2 linked regions of the Stegostoma tigrinum genome follow. The protein of the gene in region 1 interacts with the protein of each later gene in a pairwise test. Links are inferred from orthologs where the notes say so. Each region holds a gene or a part of one and is shown on either strand. Other genes may lie near its edges.

The links. The genes of interacting proteins can lie anywhere in the genome.
Region 2: the proteins of furina (region 1) and marchf2 interact in a protein complementation assay, tested with the Homo sapiens proteins (2 studies listed by BioGRID). The link is inferred for Stegostoma tigrinum from reciprocal best matches to the Homo sapiens genes FURIN and MARCHF2.

The regions. Positions count from the first base shown.
Region 1 is NC_081389.1:22,674,134-22,681,757, forward strand, and holds the start of furina (furin (paired basic amino acid cleaving enzyme) a), read right to left. Parts: upstream 3,027-7,624; 5' UTR 2,545-3,026; coding exon 2,374-2,544; intron 1-2,373. UniProt on the Homo sapiens protein: Ubiquitous endoprotease within constitutive secretory pathways capable of cleavage at the RX(K/R)R consensus motif. Mediates processing of TGFB1, an essential step in TGF-beta-1 activation.
Region 2 is NC_081383.1:27,520,236-27,528,182, forward strand, and holds the start of marchf2 (E3 ubiquitin-protein ligase MARCHF2), read right to left. Parts: upstream 3,099-7,947; 5' UTR 2,952-3,098; intron 1-2,951. Other genes in the region: ras-related protein Rab-11B, read left to right, coding at 3,515-3,554. UniProt on the Homo sapiens protein: E3 ubiquitin-protein ligase that may mediate ubiquitination of TFRC and CD86, and promote their subsequent endocytosis and sorting to lysosomes via multivesicular bodies.

The DNA.
Region 1 (7,624 bases):
TTATCAAACGAAAATGTCAGTGTAATTTGATGCTGACCTTCTGCTGCTAATTACAACCTGTGATACAAAGAATCCAAAGTCATTAGAGACACTTCCAGAACCTTTGCATTCCCATTGTGCTTCCTGCTCTCACACACACTCTCCGAAACCAGCTAAGCAGGCACAGACAGACTACAAGTCACCATAAATAACACTTCACCAGATTCCTCACGAGATTGATTAACACACATGTAGTTTAGCTTGTCATTTGAACCTCCCATTTGCTTTACTGACATTATATGATCATATTCACTGCTTTCCAAATTATAGAGACACGAGCCACTGCTATTTCTCTCACACACACACACACACACACACACACACACACACTGAAGCTCAAGTTGTTTTAATCACATTGTTCATCTGTGAATCCTAAATTCCAGCCCGGCCCCTCATCACCAAGTCTTCGGTGGGATTGTGAATAAGCACACAAAGAAATAGCAGGAATACTATGTTGAGCCTCTTTAAGCAACTGGACACAGTTATGAACAGGATTTAGAGACAAGAACATCGCAGCACAAATAAACCAGGCTAGTATATCATGCGTAGACAGCCAGCTAGCTCACTTCAAGTCTGGGCATTTACAGAAGTATTAAATTTGAGGGATCTAACTTAGTACATTGGAATACTGTTATTCCCATCTGGGATATGAAAAGAATCTACTTCCTAGTTTCCATGTATCAATAAGTTTAAGAAAATTGTGGTCTGTTACAATTTTTTGAACGGGAATAAAACTTCATACAACTGGTAGAGGCAGCCAGTGAGTGCACTTTTAGACAGTGCAAATCATTCCTTTTACTTAAGCAAATCCTAAAAACTGTGCATACTTTGCAATAGGATACAGATCATATACATGTTAAAATATATAATTATTAAACCTTGAATTATTAAAAGTTCTTCCATCACTTTGTTTGAGAGAGAACTCACAAACAAAGACAAAATGCAAATCTAACTGCAACATAATGAATAATGGTTGATATCTACAAATCTGAAATTCACAGTGACGTGAAGCTTCTTGTCCTGTGATCTCAACATGATCCTATTGAGATCCAAGAATCCTCGTTTTCTCCACACTTGTTCCTGTCTTGTAATACAAGTGGCAACATATAGAAAAGTCTAAGTGCTGTTTGCACAGATTTGATGACAAAATACATTAGCCAGAGAATCAAAATCACATTTTGAAACAACACAAATACTACTACTCTAATCAATAGGTGGGGAGTGACGCAAGTAAGCAACCGATAAAACCTATTCAAAACAGGAGACTTTTGAGTAAAAGATTGAATCTCCACTATTTGCCACTTGTCGAGCCCTACTGAATTGTGTTCAGTAGTTCTAACAGCATTATAACTTAAGTATACAAATAATAAACATGGATTTTAATTTAGTGAGAGGGGTTTTCATTTCTCCTAACAGTAATCATAGAAATCTGGAGATGAAGTGTGTTGGACAAAAGCGCACAGGCAGTGGGAACAATCTCTGGTTTTGGCACCATAATGGAGTTACACCAAAGAAATAACAGCAAGAACATTTTTATGCAAAATAGAAATTAAAGACCAATTATTCAATCATAAAGCTTTTAGACTGCATAAATCTCTTGTTCATAGTGCCTTTATCCTGGCATGGCATTGTAGATGAGAGACAGAGAACTGATACTCAGGCACGATTTTTTTAAACCAAATAATGTCATCGGAAAAACAAATTGGGAGAATAAGAAAAATTCAAAAAGTTATTACAATGCAAAATGCAGGACAAGTGACTACTTGAAACAAAATCAGCGGTCTCCTCTAGGCTATAAAAATTATCAATCTGCCCACCATTCCGGCCAGATTTCTGAAAACGAATCACCTTTGCCCCTAGCCGACATGTTTTTTTAAAAGTTTGTTAAATTTTCAGAAGTGTCTAATTGAATCCCTTTTAAAAGTTGTGGCAGAGTTTAAAGGAGTATATTCAAAAGTACAGGTAAACAACGCGAACAATAACAAACTCTGATCGAAGAGCAGAAATTTCGGAGTTTGCTATGCAACCAAAAGTTGTGTCGAAACAAAAGTGATCCACTTTCCGTGAACAGCAACTCATGCAACATCCTACTGATTAAACATGAATCATCTCAAAATCATCACCACAAAATGACAAAGGATTATTGCTTTAGAAGTCACAAATGTCCTGAGTTTTGAAATAAAACTGCCAGGGATCTTGCCAGAAACAATAAACAGAGGACAGGATGGAAAAAAAGAAGTTACTGAGAGTTAACTCATCCGCTCGTTATTTATAAACAAAAGGAGGTCCGCTTTGGAATGTAGTGGAGACGGTATGGAGATGCAGTTTGCTCACCTGCCCCAGGTTGATGAAGCCGTGTTCCCTGGCCACCCTGGCGGCCTCCTGCTGCCCGCCGGGGATCCGCACCGCCCAGGTGTTGCTATAAACTTTCGGCGGGGCGGTGAAAGAGGCACACAGAGCGACGAGGGTGCAGGACGAGAGGACGGCCTTCAGCCCCCACTCCATCCCCACGGCCCGCTACGGATTCACGGTCCAGCGGAGGTGGGGGGGCTGGATCTCAAACTCCAGCCAGTGCCGCCGCCGCCGCCTCCACCTACTCAGGGACCCCCCCCCCGGCGATTGGTCTCTACCCGGGGGTTGTTTGCACAGCTCCCTCTTCCCGTCCCTCACTCACAGTCCCTGAAGGGAAGGGGAGGCCGGACCGTGACGGGGGGGGGTGGGCGGGGGCCAAGTCCGAATGGTCGGTCACTCCGTCCCTTCCTGACGGACCGGTCAATCGGGGGACAGGGATGTGTGAGAGGAAATAAAGATCAACAAACGGTGGGCCAGTGTCCGGGACCAGGCCCTCAGCGGCGGTGCCGGGTGCCCATGATGCGAGATGAGCGGGTGTTGTGTGACAGGAGCTGGCACTCGGACACCAAACGGACACCGGCCCGCCCTCCCTCAGCTCCGAGCGAACAAACCCTGTCCCCTCAGGAGACTGCGCGCGCGCACGCGCACACGCACAGATTTCTTTGATGGGGGGGGGGGGGGGGGGCGGGGTGGGTGCAGAAAGCACGCGCCTGCCCCGGCTCGGCCAGCCAATCCCCACGCGCGACGGGAATGCGGACCGGCGCGCGTTAGGGACCGCCTCTTTCCCCGCCCACCCGGCAGGCGGAGACAACCGTTCCCCTTTGTGCGCAGGCGCGCTCTTACACCACGTGGCCCTCCCACCGCCTCCTTTTCCTTCATGACGTCAACCACGCCGTCCCATCGCCGTGACGTCAACAGCCCGGCCAACATTCCCTCACTGTTTCTTAGCACTTCCGGGATAAATTGTTGAACGGTTTTGCATTACTTACATGGAGCATAGAACCGACTTTGGCTAGACCTCTCATAGCTATCATGTTATTTCCAGTCATTTGGGCAGTCTCTAGCACCGCCTTATTTTGTATTTGTAATAACATCTCTGCCTCAGTTAATCGGATTATAGCTCATCCCTTGACTTGCTAAGCAGTTGTTAATGGTTACTCACACTGAGAACACTTCGAATCACCTGCCGGGACTTATTATTTAGCACTCCACCCTCACCATTTGTCTGGTCTTTTGATCTCTGCCCATAAATTCTGTCAGAAGTCACACAAGCTTTTGTGCTCCTGAGATGCTGCTTGGCCTGCTGTGTTCATCCAGCCTCACATTTTATTATCTTGGATTCTCCAGCATCTGCAGTTCCCTCTATCACAGAAATCACACAACATCAGGTTGTAGTCCAACAGGTGTGTTTGAAAACACAAGGTTTTGGAGCCTCACTCCTTCTTCAGGTGAGGCTCTGAAAGCTAGTGTTTTCAAATGACACTGTTGGACTACGACCTGGTGTCATGTAATTTCTGACCTTGCCTGCCCTAGTCCAACACCAGCAACTCCACGTCATAAATTCTGTGCTCTGTGTGCTTCTCACTCACTTTGCCTGACAGAGGGGCTACGTTCCAAAAGTTTGTGATTTCAAATAAACCTTTCGGGCTATAACCTGGTGTCATGTGACTTCTGACTTTATACAACCCTGGCCAACACCGGCATCTCCACATCATGCTTACCATGATGAGAGAATATAAGATCATGGCTGATCCAAAGGCTAAAGAAACAAAAGTGTAGGATTCAGGTGGAGCTTGAATAAACATGTTCGACTATAATCTGGCGCCACGTAACTTCTGACTTTGTCCACCCAGCGCCTCCACAGATCTGCCATGTATCACACAGAAATAAGGTTTTGAAAGACTGTGACTGTCATTTGATTTTAGAATCCCTACAGTGGGGAAGCAGGCCATTTGTCCCATTGGATCCACACCAACCCCTGAAAAGCATACTACCCACACCCACCCATCCCTCTACCACGTATTTCTCAAGGCTAATCCACCTAGCTGGCACATCCTTGGACATTATGGATCATTTAGTATGGACAATCCACCTAACCTGGACATCAATTTGACTTCTCTGAAAGTTCAACTGCCCTGTATTCTGACTTGCACCAATTTACCTAGCATCCCAGTGCCTACTGACTGACATTGGTTCCTGGTCTACCAATACCTCAATTTTTAAATTTTCATCCCTGTGTTCAAATCATCTCCATTGACCCATAACTTCCTTCAACCCACCACACCCCAAAATCTCCATGTTCCTCCAATTTTGATCTCTGGAACAGCCCCAATTTTAATCATTAGCTATCACTTAAAATATCTTGGCTCCAAACACTGAACTTTCCTCCCTAAACTCTTCCAGCTCTCAAGTTATTGAATGCAAGAGTTGGCAGGTCATGTCGCAGTTGTATTGAGTACAAGAGTTGGCAGGTCTTGTTACAGTTGTATAAGACTTTGGTTCGGCCACATTTGGAGTATTGCGTACAGTTCTGGTCGCCACATTACCAAAAGGATGTGGATGCTTTGGAGAGGGTGCAGAGGAGGTTCACCAGGATGTTGCCTGGTATGGCGGGCGCTAACTATGAAGAGAGGTTGCAGAAAGATGGAGATTGAGGGGGGACCTAATTGAGGTCTACAAAATCATTAGGGATACAGACAAGGTGGATAGCAAGAAGCTTTTTCCCAGAGTGGGGGACTCAGTTACTAGGGGTCATGATTTCAAAGTGAGAGGAGGAAAGTTTAAGGAAGATATGCGTGGAAAGTTCTTTACACAGAGGGTGGTGGGTGCCTGGAACGCTATGCCAGCGGAGGTGGTAGACGCAGACACGATAGTGTCTTTTAAGATGTATCTGAACAGGTACATGGATGAGCAGGGAGCAAAGGGATACAGACCCTTTGAGAATAGATGACAGGTTTAGACAGAGGATCTTGATCGGCGCAGGCTTGGAGGGCTGAAGGGCCTGTTTGTTCCTGTGCTGTAATTTTCTTTGCTCTCCTTCTTCCTCTAAGACACTCATTAAAATTTACCTTTTGCTCCATAAATTTGGTCATCTGTTAAAACACAAATGACGCATCTTGAGCTCAATGTTTTACTAGATGCTACATGAATGCAAGTTGTTATATCCTAAAGCTTGCCTGCAGAGTAATGGTCCCTGCATGTGAAACACATTGAAGCATGTGGATGGGAGTCCAGGACTGGATCAAAATCATTACTTGAGCTACGATATTTCAAAGCACTGGAGGAAACAACAGGAATGAGATTTATCACAAAACTCAATTAAACAATAGACTTTTCCATTAAAATAAATCATATTGTAAGCCAACATATTTGAATTTTAAAAAAACTGCCAGGCTTGAAGCGTTTCATCATATCTTTCAGAAACATATGGAGGGCAAAAATCCTCGGCACAGTTCCAGAGCCTGACCAACATGCCCGCACAAAAGTCAAGGCAGCAGATGATTGAGTGGTTCATTTGGACTGACTGCCTCTCTTCCTCGGCAGTGTTCATGCCTGGGTTTCACAGTGTTCAGCAGTAACAGACAAGGTCTTGTGGCACACTTGAAGATGTCATCTGAATTTCAGCTTCCTTTCTAAAGTCTGTTTTATTTTAATTCCAGTATACTTGTAATGTTTGTGTCAGTTCGTTCCTCTTTGTTGTCACCATACTCATTGGCCAAAACGATCTATAAACCCGGAACCCTTAAATGACATTCAACACGAAACCTCATGTACATAACATGTTAGAATGCTTCCAAGTGCCTCACTGGAAAGCAAACGGACAATCGACGCTGCATTAAGAAAGTAAGGGGATGCAAGTGATTGAGTAGAACTTTAGGCAAAGGGATCAGTTTTGGGAAAGGTCTTAAAGGTGGAGAGGAACTCCTGCTGTCACTGTGTAGGTTATTGCCCCACACCCCATAGCTTTCTCAGGGGGGAGTCACTGTGTCGGTTATTGCCCCACACCCCACAGCTTTCTCAGGGGGGAGTCACTGTGTAGGTTATTGCCCCACACCCCACAGCTTTCTCAGGGGGGAGTCACTGTGTAGGTTATTGCCCCACACCCCACAGCTTTCTCAGGGAGGAGTCACTGTGTAGGTTATTGCCCCACACCCCACAGCTTTCTCAGGGGGGAGTCACTGTGTAGGTTATTGCCCCACACCCCACAGCTTTCTCAGGGGGGAGTCACTCTGTAGGTTATTGCCCCATACCCCACAGCTTTCTCGGGGGAAACAATGTCAGATCAAAGGCTCAGTATGAAAACCGGAACACAGGAAATAGGAACAGGAGTAGACCATTTGGCGGTTCAAGGCTACTCCACCATTCAAAACAATTGTGGCTGATCTTGGGCTTTGACTCCACACTCCTACTCACTCCCGTGTCCACTGACTCCCTGAGACACCAAATATCTGTCTTTCCCAACCTTGAATATGTGCAATGATGAAGCATCCACAATCCTCTGGGTAGAGAGTGAAAACACCATTTTCCCTAAGCTGCGAAGGCTTAAGTGCGTGTGAGACCCAAACCCCAAACACAGTCAGTGTGTGTGGGACCCCGTACCCCAGTGAGGGTCAGTGTGTGCATGGGACCCTGTACCCCAGTCAGAGTCAGTGTGTGTGTGTGGGACCCTGTACCCCAGTGAGAGTCAGTGTGTGTGTGGGACCCCGTACCCCAGTGAGAGTCAGTGTGTGTGTGTGGGACCCTGTACCCCAGTGAGAGTCAGTGTGTGTGTGGGACCCCATACCCCAGTGAGAGTCAGTGTGTGTGTGGGACCCCGTACCCCAGTGAGAGTCAGTGTGTGTGTGGGACCCCATACCCCAGTGAGAGTCAGTGTGTGTGTGGGACCCCATACCACAGTCAGAGTCAGTGTGTGTGTGGGTCCCTGTACCCCAGTGAGAGTCAGTGTGTGTGTGGGACCCCGTACCCCAGTGAGAGTCAGTGTGTGTGTGTGGGACCCCATACCCCAGTGAGAGTCAGTGTGTGTGTGGGACCCCGTACCCCAGTGAGAGTCAGTGTGTGTGTGGGACCCCGTACCCAAGTCAGAGTCAGTGTGTGTGTGGGACCTCGTACCCCAGTCAGAGCCAGTGTGTATGTGGGACCCCGTACCCCAGTGAGAGTCAGTGTGTGTGGGACCCCGTACCCCAGTGGGAGTCATTGTGTGTGTGACCCTGTACCCCAGTGAGAGTCAGTGTGT
Region 2 (7,947 bases), on another chromosome or scaffold:
GGCTGAAGCCAACAAAATTTGGCAACACAATTTATTTGTATAGATTTAGTCAAGGTATAACATTGGTTTCATGGTTCACTTCAGAACAGGGCTACATAAAATTAAACTTTTGTAGCAGAAAGCCCATTTTAATACATTTGTTGTCTATTGGTAACAGCGATTACAGAGATAATACTTCTCATGCAAGTCATATCTGACCAAAGGCAAAAAATTTCAAAGGGAACAAACAATCTCAATTAAAAAGTTAACTTGAGAAAAACACATTATGAATAAAAACATAATAAAGAGACAAAGAGAAATTAGAGACAAACTGATTTGGGATTTACAGCAAGTTACAATTCTTTCTCACTCATTCAAGGCAGATTTGTTATCTACCGCTTCGATTGTGTATTCTCCAGATAGTGCGTTCTGGCTATTAAATAATTTCCATACTCCACACATAAGTTTTGCATCTGGAACCTGGGCCAGTATTCTCCACACATGAGCATATTTGTCTGCTCTATTTTTCCATTAAACAGCAATTACTTGGCAACCAGAAATGTTCCTGTGAGCCAAACAGTTATTCACATGTAGTATTCATCAATCTTACAGATATGTTTGTACCTAAAAGGTTATTCACATGTAAAGTGTGTTAAACACTGTTTCTGCTCTTCAGCTTATAAAATGAATATTTTGCTAAAATTTCAAAGAAAACTAAACAACAGATTTTAGATTTGGCAAAAGATGCATAGCACGTATTTTCTCACATCACAGTTATCCAATTGGTTTCACTTCTCAGTAAATGTAACCTTCAAAGCTTATTTGAACATTTCAATTTAATTTCACCATGCTTTCAAACAATGTATTCCATACCATAATGTGCATTCTTCACCTTAACTCTCTGTCTTTTGGGTTACAAATCACCTCTGGCAGAGATAGTTTCTCCAATATCTAATGCTTAATTTCTCTTGAGAAAACAGCTAAAAATTATTTGTTGATATGTAAGGTAAAGTAGATTTTGATCCTATAAAGACAATTTGTAAACCTAGATTTATGGCAACACAACACAGCTTTCAAAATATTTACATTAAGCTGATGATGTCAAGATCAGAGGCTTTCATTACACATTAGAATGTTTTTTAAAAATCCCAGTGGATGTAAGAAAATGCAGAGCAGCTATGTCCATGATTCAAGTCCTATAATCATTTAAGTATCTAAGAGCTTTCAGTAAATTGCACAGTCCTCCACAACAACTTATTTATCTATCTACACCAAATTATTTATTTAAACAAAATTTATACGTAAAAACTACCAATATGAACCTATCACTGAAAAGAAAAAGAAACACTTTCCTTATTAAATGGCCACATGGTAGTTGTCAGTATTGAGAAAATATAGCAATATATTACAGAAGAATTCAGTATAATGTATGTTTCTTTTTCAGTTGTTGATAAATTAATTTTTCCTTTGCATATTGGGTAGAAAATAAGCCAAATAGCCTCAAGTTAAATGAATTAAGCATGTCAATGATAATGCAACATAAATAATCACTAAAGAGGGGCAGCTTAATAAAAATAATTTATATTGATCTCGCATATTTACCAAGAAATTAGTTAGAAATCAAGATGTGACACAAAACCACGTAAGGTGATATTAAACGTGATTAGCTAAAACTTGGTCAAAGATATTCAAAGGACATTTTAAAAGGAGAAAGGTGGTAGCAGGCTAGAGAGTTTTCTGAAAGCAATTTCAGAAGTTAGGAATTGGCTAGAGAAGACACAGCCAACTTTCATGATGCAATCAATTTAAGGAAGCTCAAAACACAGGAACTGCAGAAACACCAGTATATAGGATCACTATGCCGCTGGAAGAGATTACAAAGATGGGAATGGATGAAATCATAAGGAAACTAATTATTATAAGTCAGGATATTAATTAGTCAGAAGTCAGCAAAGGTGAGCAAGCACATAAATGATGATAGTACAGTTTGAATAAGATCAAAGGTAACAGCCCACCTTCAGCTTCAATGTAGGCATCTGGACAGGAGTACATGAAATACTCAATAGTAATGAAGGTATGGGTAAGGTTTCACCAGCAGGTGAGCATGGCAGAGATGAAGTCCAGTGATACTTTTGAGCAAGAAATAGGTAGCTTTCGTGATAGCCCTATGAGTGGTCAGAAGTTCATCTCACACTCAAATTCAATACAAGGTTACAAATTTTCTGGTTTTGTCAACTCCATAGAATTAAAAGTATAATTTATAGTTCCACAAGATAAATTGATCTGGAAACTCTCTCTCAGAGATAATGTTGAAACACTCAATTGTTTCCTATTCTCTATTCGTCCAAGTCATGATGATTCAACAGAACAAAGCAAGAGACTGAAGAAGATTTAAGCTCAGAAGCATTGCTGAGAAATAGTAGTCATCAACATTTTGTTGCAGTGATGTCCTAGCTCATTAGTGGCAGTTTATTTTAAGTGAAACACTAGGTTCACTTATCCACCGTGGAGCACGTCAGTACCATATGGTCTCCACTACCAACAAGCTTAACCGCTGACCAAACCTGACTGAGCCATTTGACAACTCACCTGGTACATTATTCCAGACACATGCACACTATTGTGAAAACAACAATAAGCCATTGAAGCGTTCATGCTAAATTTATCTGGGAGTTTTATGAGGGTTATGCAAAGAACTGCACGATGTGCTCCATTTCCTCCGTGTTGTGACAGCAGAGCCAAAGGGGGTCCTTTGCTGTGATGTCTGACTGATGTTTGCACTCCACATAGCTGCAGAACGAGTGACAGTTCACTCAGGAGCCTGTTTAAACCATCACTTGAGGAGACATTTTAACCAACGAAAAAAACCAAGAGACTCCCAATCCTCGGACTGTGACGCACAACACCTTGTTGGACGAGGAGAATCGCTGCACGTTCAATGTTAAAAATATTTTTTTAAAAAAATCACTGACTTGATTCCTCTTGCATTACCTCAGGGTGATCACTTTCGGAACGGCTGTCTCGACGACCCCAGGCTCGGTTCAATAGTTCATTGGGCCCATCTCTTCTGCCAACATCACCGCTCCCAGTGTACAATCCTAGTCCTTAAAAAGAGAGAAAAAGATCCGCGCCGGAAGAGGAGCGTGTTCTTGACTAGATGTGAATGACAGGCAGATTACCCAATCAGCTGGGGAAAACTGTTATAATTGACAGCTTTTGTAAACAGTCGGTTAAGAGGATCCTGCAAAAGGCGGGGCTAAGGTCCCCGGCTGGATGACTTCACCCAGTCAGGCAGTGCAGGGTGGGGGCGGGATTTATTGCCATAGTGATGGAATCTCTATGGTCTGTGGTACCCACGCCGCTTTATTATTGGCCACTGAGCTGTCAATTAGTGGGTGAGGCGGTGGGCGGGTTAGTTGTAGTTTCCGGTTATCGTGTAGGGGCAGGGCTTGTGCCTGTGCCGAAAAAAAGGAAGGATATCTTTGCGGTCGTTGCAGGTTGCGCTCCGGCAGAAACCGGTTATATTGAGGGTAAAATGGGAACTAGAGATGATGAGTATGATTATCTCTTTAAAGGTAAGGCAATGACCATCTGTTTTGGGGTTGAAATACATTTGTCTTGTTTCGCATATAATTGTGATAAGATGTAGGCCTTAGGCTTTACGCCTTTAACCTGGTTAAGGAGGGCAGGGACAAAAACTTCTCCGCTGTGGCCCGATAAGTTTCTTTTTCTCTTTCTTATCGATGTTTAGTCAACTTGATACCAGAAAGTCTGGAGGAGCTTCATAGGTAGTAATGGCAGGAGCTGGAATCGAGAAAGAAGCCACCCAAAAAAAGCTATCGTCTGCAATAACATTAATCCCCATCTATTACCCTTACATGATCTGTAGGTTTAATCTAGCTAATACTGCCTGTCCATTTAGCTGCACAGTGAAACTTTTTGTCGTCTTTCTGCACTTAATTTTTACTTCTGCTAACTAGAATCTATTATTTTTAGTTACAGGCATTGTTAATTTTCTTTGTGTTTACTGGAAATAGCTTCATGCACTTTGCAAAACGCATATGAGCTTTCCTTTGTATTTTATACGTAAAGATCAAAAGCACTTTTTTTCCGCCACTGCAATCATCTTATTTATTTACACGAAAATTTCAGTTGACTGCCCCAAAGTGCGTAAATTGCGAAAAACATTAGTACCAATGTTTTTGTTTCTCAGCGTCTTAGGCTTGAAGGGAATATTTTACCGCTGGTGGTATGCATCACTGTTGACTGATTTAAGATGCTGGGTATAAAGTGAATTGTATGACCACAATAAGGCTTATTGGCTTAAAGTTGTATTTTTTATTGTTAGCAGTGCACCAAATATACCTGTGACATCAGTTGTCTTCCATGTTGCTGATCTTCTGGTTTATTGCTGGTTTTCACCCTCATTTCAACTTTCTCTTTCCCACGCTGCCTCAAAAATGAGACTCTTGATCTACAAGTGCCTGTTATTCTGTCCTTTAGTGGGAAAGAAATGGTGAAAGTTGAAAAATAGGTAGTAAGGGATTAAACTTTTTTTCATCTAATATTGATATTTAACATGTAAAGTGAGTACTTTTTTTTAATCACAACTTACAAGGTCACAGGCATGTTATCTACCTGCCTGCATGTTGTGGGGTTTGGGTGGAAATTTACCCATATTTGGATAGTCCCTTCAGTGTTTTGATCTAAACTTTTGTCTGAATATGCTTTCATGAAGTGCCTTTCAGCTTCAAAGCTGTTGTAAATTTGAGTTTGAAGACCAACTTTTTAAAAAAGTTGGTTAGGTCACAGATAAAGTGTACAAGTCTGCATTCCATTTTGTAGGGGGGATGTGATTGCACTGGATAAGGTGCAGAAATATGCTAGGATGTTGTCTGGGCTGGGGAAGTTAGACGTGGGGTTGTTTTCCTTGGACACTAACAAAGAACATGATTGTGATGTATAGATAAATGGGATGGACATGGAAGTACTCTCCTTTTGAGGGATAAATGAAGAAAGATATAAATTTGAGGTAAGAAGCAAAATTTAGAACAGTTGTAAGAAAAATCTTACCATGTAGAGTGGTAGGAATCTAGAACTCACCCTGTAAGGGTGGTAGAGACACAAACCCCTTGTAACATTAATTATTTAGATGAATGTCATTGGTGCCAAGGCGCATAAGGCCAACTGCTGTAGAATTGAATTAGGCTAGTTAGGTGGTTGTATTTGATTGGCAAAGACTTGATGGGCCAAAGGGCCTTTTTCTGTGTTGTAGGACCACTGATTCTGACTCTAAATATTTGTCAATTGCTAGTGAGTTTTGAGAAGATTTGTAGCTCAGGTTGAGGTTCTGGATGTGAGTTTGCTCGCTGAGCTGGAAGGTTAGTTTTCAGTCACCATTCTAGGTAACATCATCAGTGAGCCTCCGACGAAGCGCTGGTGTTATGTCCCGCTTTCTATTTATCTGGTTAGGTTTCCTTGGGTTGGTGATGTCATTTCCTGTTCTCTTTCTCAGGGGATGGTAGATTGATTTGGAGTCAAATCAATGTGTTTGTTGGTGGAGTTCCAGTTGGAATGCCATGCTTCTAGGAATTCTCGTGCATGTCTCTGTTTGGCTTGCATCCAACCTAGGACTAACCAAACAGAGACATGCACGAGAATTCCTAGAAGCATGGCATTCCAACTGGAACTCCATCAACAAACACATTGATTTGACTCCAAATCAATCTACCATCCCCTGAGAAAAAGAACAGGAAATGACATCACCAACCCAAGGAAACCTAACCAGATAAATAGAAAGCGGGACATAACACCAACGCTTCGGAGGCTCACTGATGTTACCTAGAATGGTGATGAAACATCTGAAAACGAACCTTCCAGCTCAGCGAGCAAACTCACACATCCATTTGTCAATTGCTTTTTGATTTACATATCATGTTAACTAAACCCAGTCTCAACTAGTAAATTGAAGTTTGAAAACTAGTAAAGCTATAAGAAATAAGAATGGGCTAGGCTGTATTGCTCAAGCCTGCTCTGCCATACATTAGGATTGTGACTGGGTATTTGACTGTTGAATAATTGTGTGCAGGCAGTGTATAACTTTACACATGCTTTTAATTTCATTCCTCTGCTTCAATTTGCATTACCAACCTCAAATATTCTTTATGTTTCTGTACAGGGAAGTTAAGGGCACGACATGCATTCTTTGTTAAATAAAGTTGAAAGAACTGCAGATGCTGTAAATCAGAAACAAAAACAGAATTGGCTGGAAGAGGTTAACAAGACTGACAACGTCTGTGAAGAGAAATCAGTTAACGTTTTGGGTCGAGTGACCTTCCCTCAGTCGACCCAAAATGTTAACTCTTGCTTCACTGCACAGGTGCTGTCAGATGTGGATTCATTACTCAGTTTTGTAGGGTTGTTGAATGGAATCTTGCGTGTTCGGCATTTTATTTTATCCGGATAGCAGCTAACCTATTTATTGAGCCCTTCTATGTTACCAGCTATATCTGTAAAAGATGATTCAAAACTGTGGCTCTGGATTGTAATGCATTTATGTTGCTTCTCTGTTCTGACAAATTTACTTTGGGATTATTTCATTTTTATGTAGTTTGAGACGTCAAATTGAGGATTAAGAAGATCTGCTAGTTGAATCAAGATGGTTGTTTTATATTCCAGCTTAAAAACATAATTGCTCAATCATATCCGTTTGAAAAAGGGTGGATTTATCTGCCATTCAATGGAAGAATCATATTTCTTCAGTTTTTTTGATATTTTGGTCATAATTGCTCCTTCAAAGAAGGGTTAAAATTTAAAGTGGAAGATCACTTGTCCATTAAGCTATTGTCCATTGTCTATTCTAGCTCCAAATACAAATGTTAAATTAAATATTTGCATAGATAGGCAAAGGTTTCTTCACATTGAAACTTAAACTAATATTCCCAAACAAAGATTCACCTGCACTTTTGCATGTCATGTCTGCTCAATCGTGTGTAAGAAACAATTGAAACATGCCTGAACCTTGTATATAAGGATTTTACTACATCAGTTTTTTGTCTTCTGTTTACCAATCTATCACTTATAATGGTTGGGTCACTTGTCAGTGTTCCTGGGCATCAAGACAGTGTGGCCTGAGAATGAACATGGATTAGGCAGTAAGGAATAGATTATTGAGGGGAAGCAAATATATAATTCACTCTATACTTGTATTATCCAATTTCACTTCCTTTTGGTGCGAAAAACATCAATGGCACTTTGGTGATCAGTGCTGTTTGGAGTAGAAGTACTGAATGAAGTTTCACTGCACCGTTAAAGTCTTCCAAAAGGCATAAGGGTGTAGCGAGTGACATTCATGAAGGCTATCTGTTTTCAGTGAGGATGTGGCACTGTAGAATGCAAAATTTGATCACCTACAAATAATTGTACGAACATTTGTACTTCATGATCTCAGCTGGTAATATTAGACAAGTCAAATTTTGGTGAAACGTGGCTTGATTGTAAGTTTTTCCTCTTGTAGTTTGGTTACTGTAGTGTTCAGTCACTGAACATATTCATATGAGGCTATCAATATCCTTCTAAAACTAAGTTCTTTATCTTAAGAAAAAGGTCAAAGTTCATTTAGAAAGATCTTAACATAAAACAGCACACAAAAACCACCCTCACTCCACCTATATCCTTCAGTCACTTGGTTCCACTGAAGTAGCACCACTGCTTAACTCTCAAATTTATAACTCCACGAGCTCTTCCCAAGCTTTGTTCTGGATTGTTGAGGCAGCTGAAAATGTTTATGAAGCTCTGGCCAGGTACTTGCTTCCAATTCTAACCACCTAGAAATTTCTACAATTTAAAAAAAACCTACCCTTCTGCTAAAGTGATTTATCTTGTGACCTCAACTTACTCATGGCCCTTGGTCTACTGTTTTTGTGTATGTCATAAAAGTTTTGTAAACATTGAGTTAACTTTTTTGGG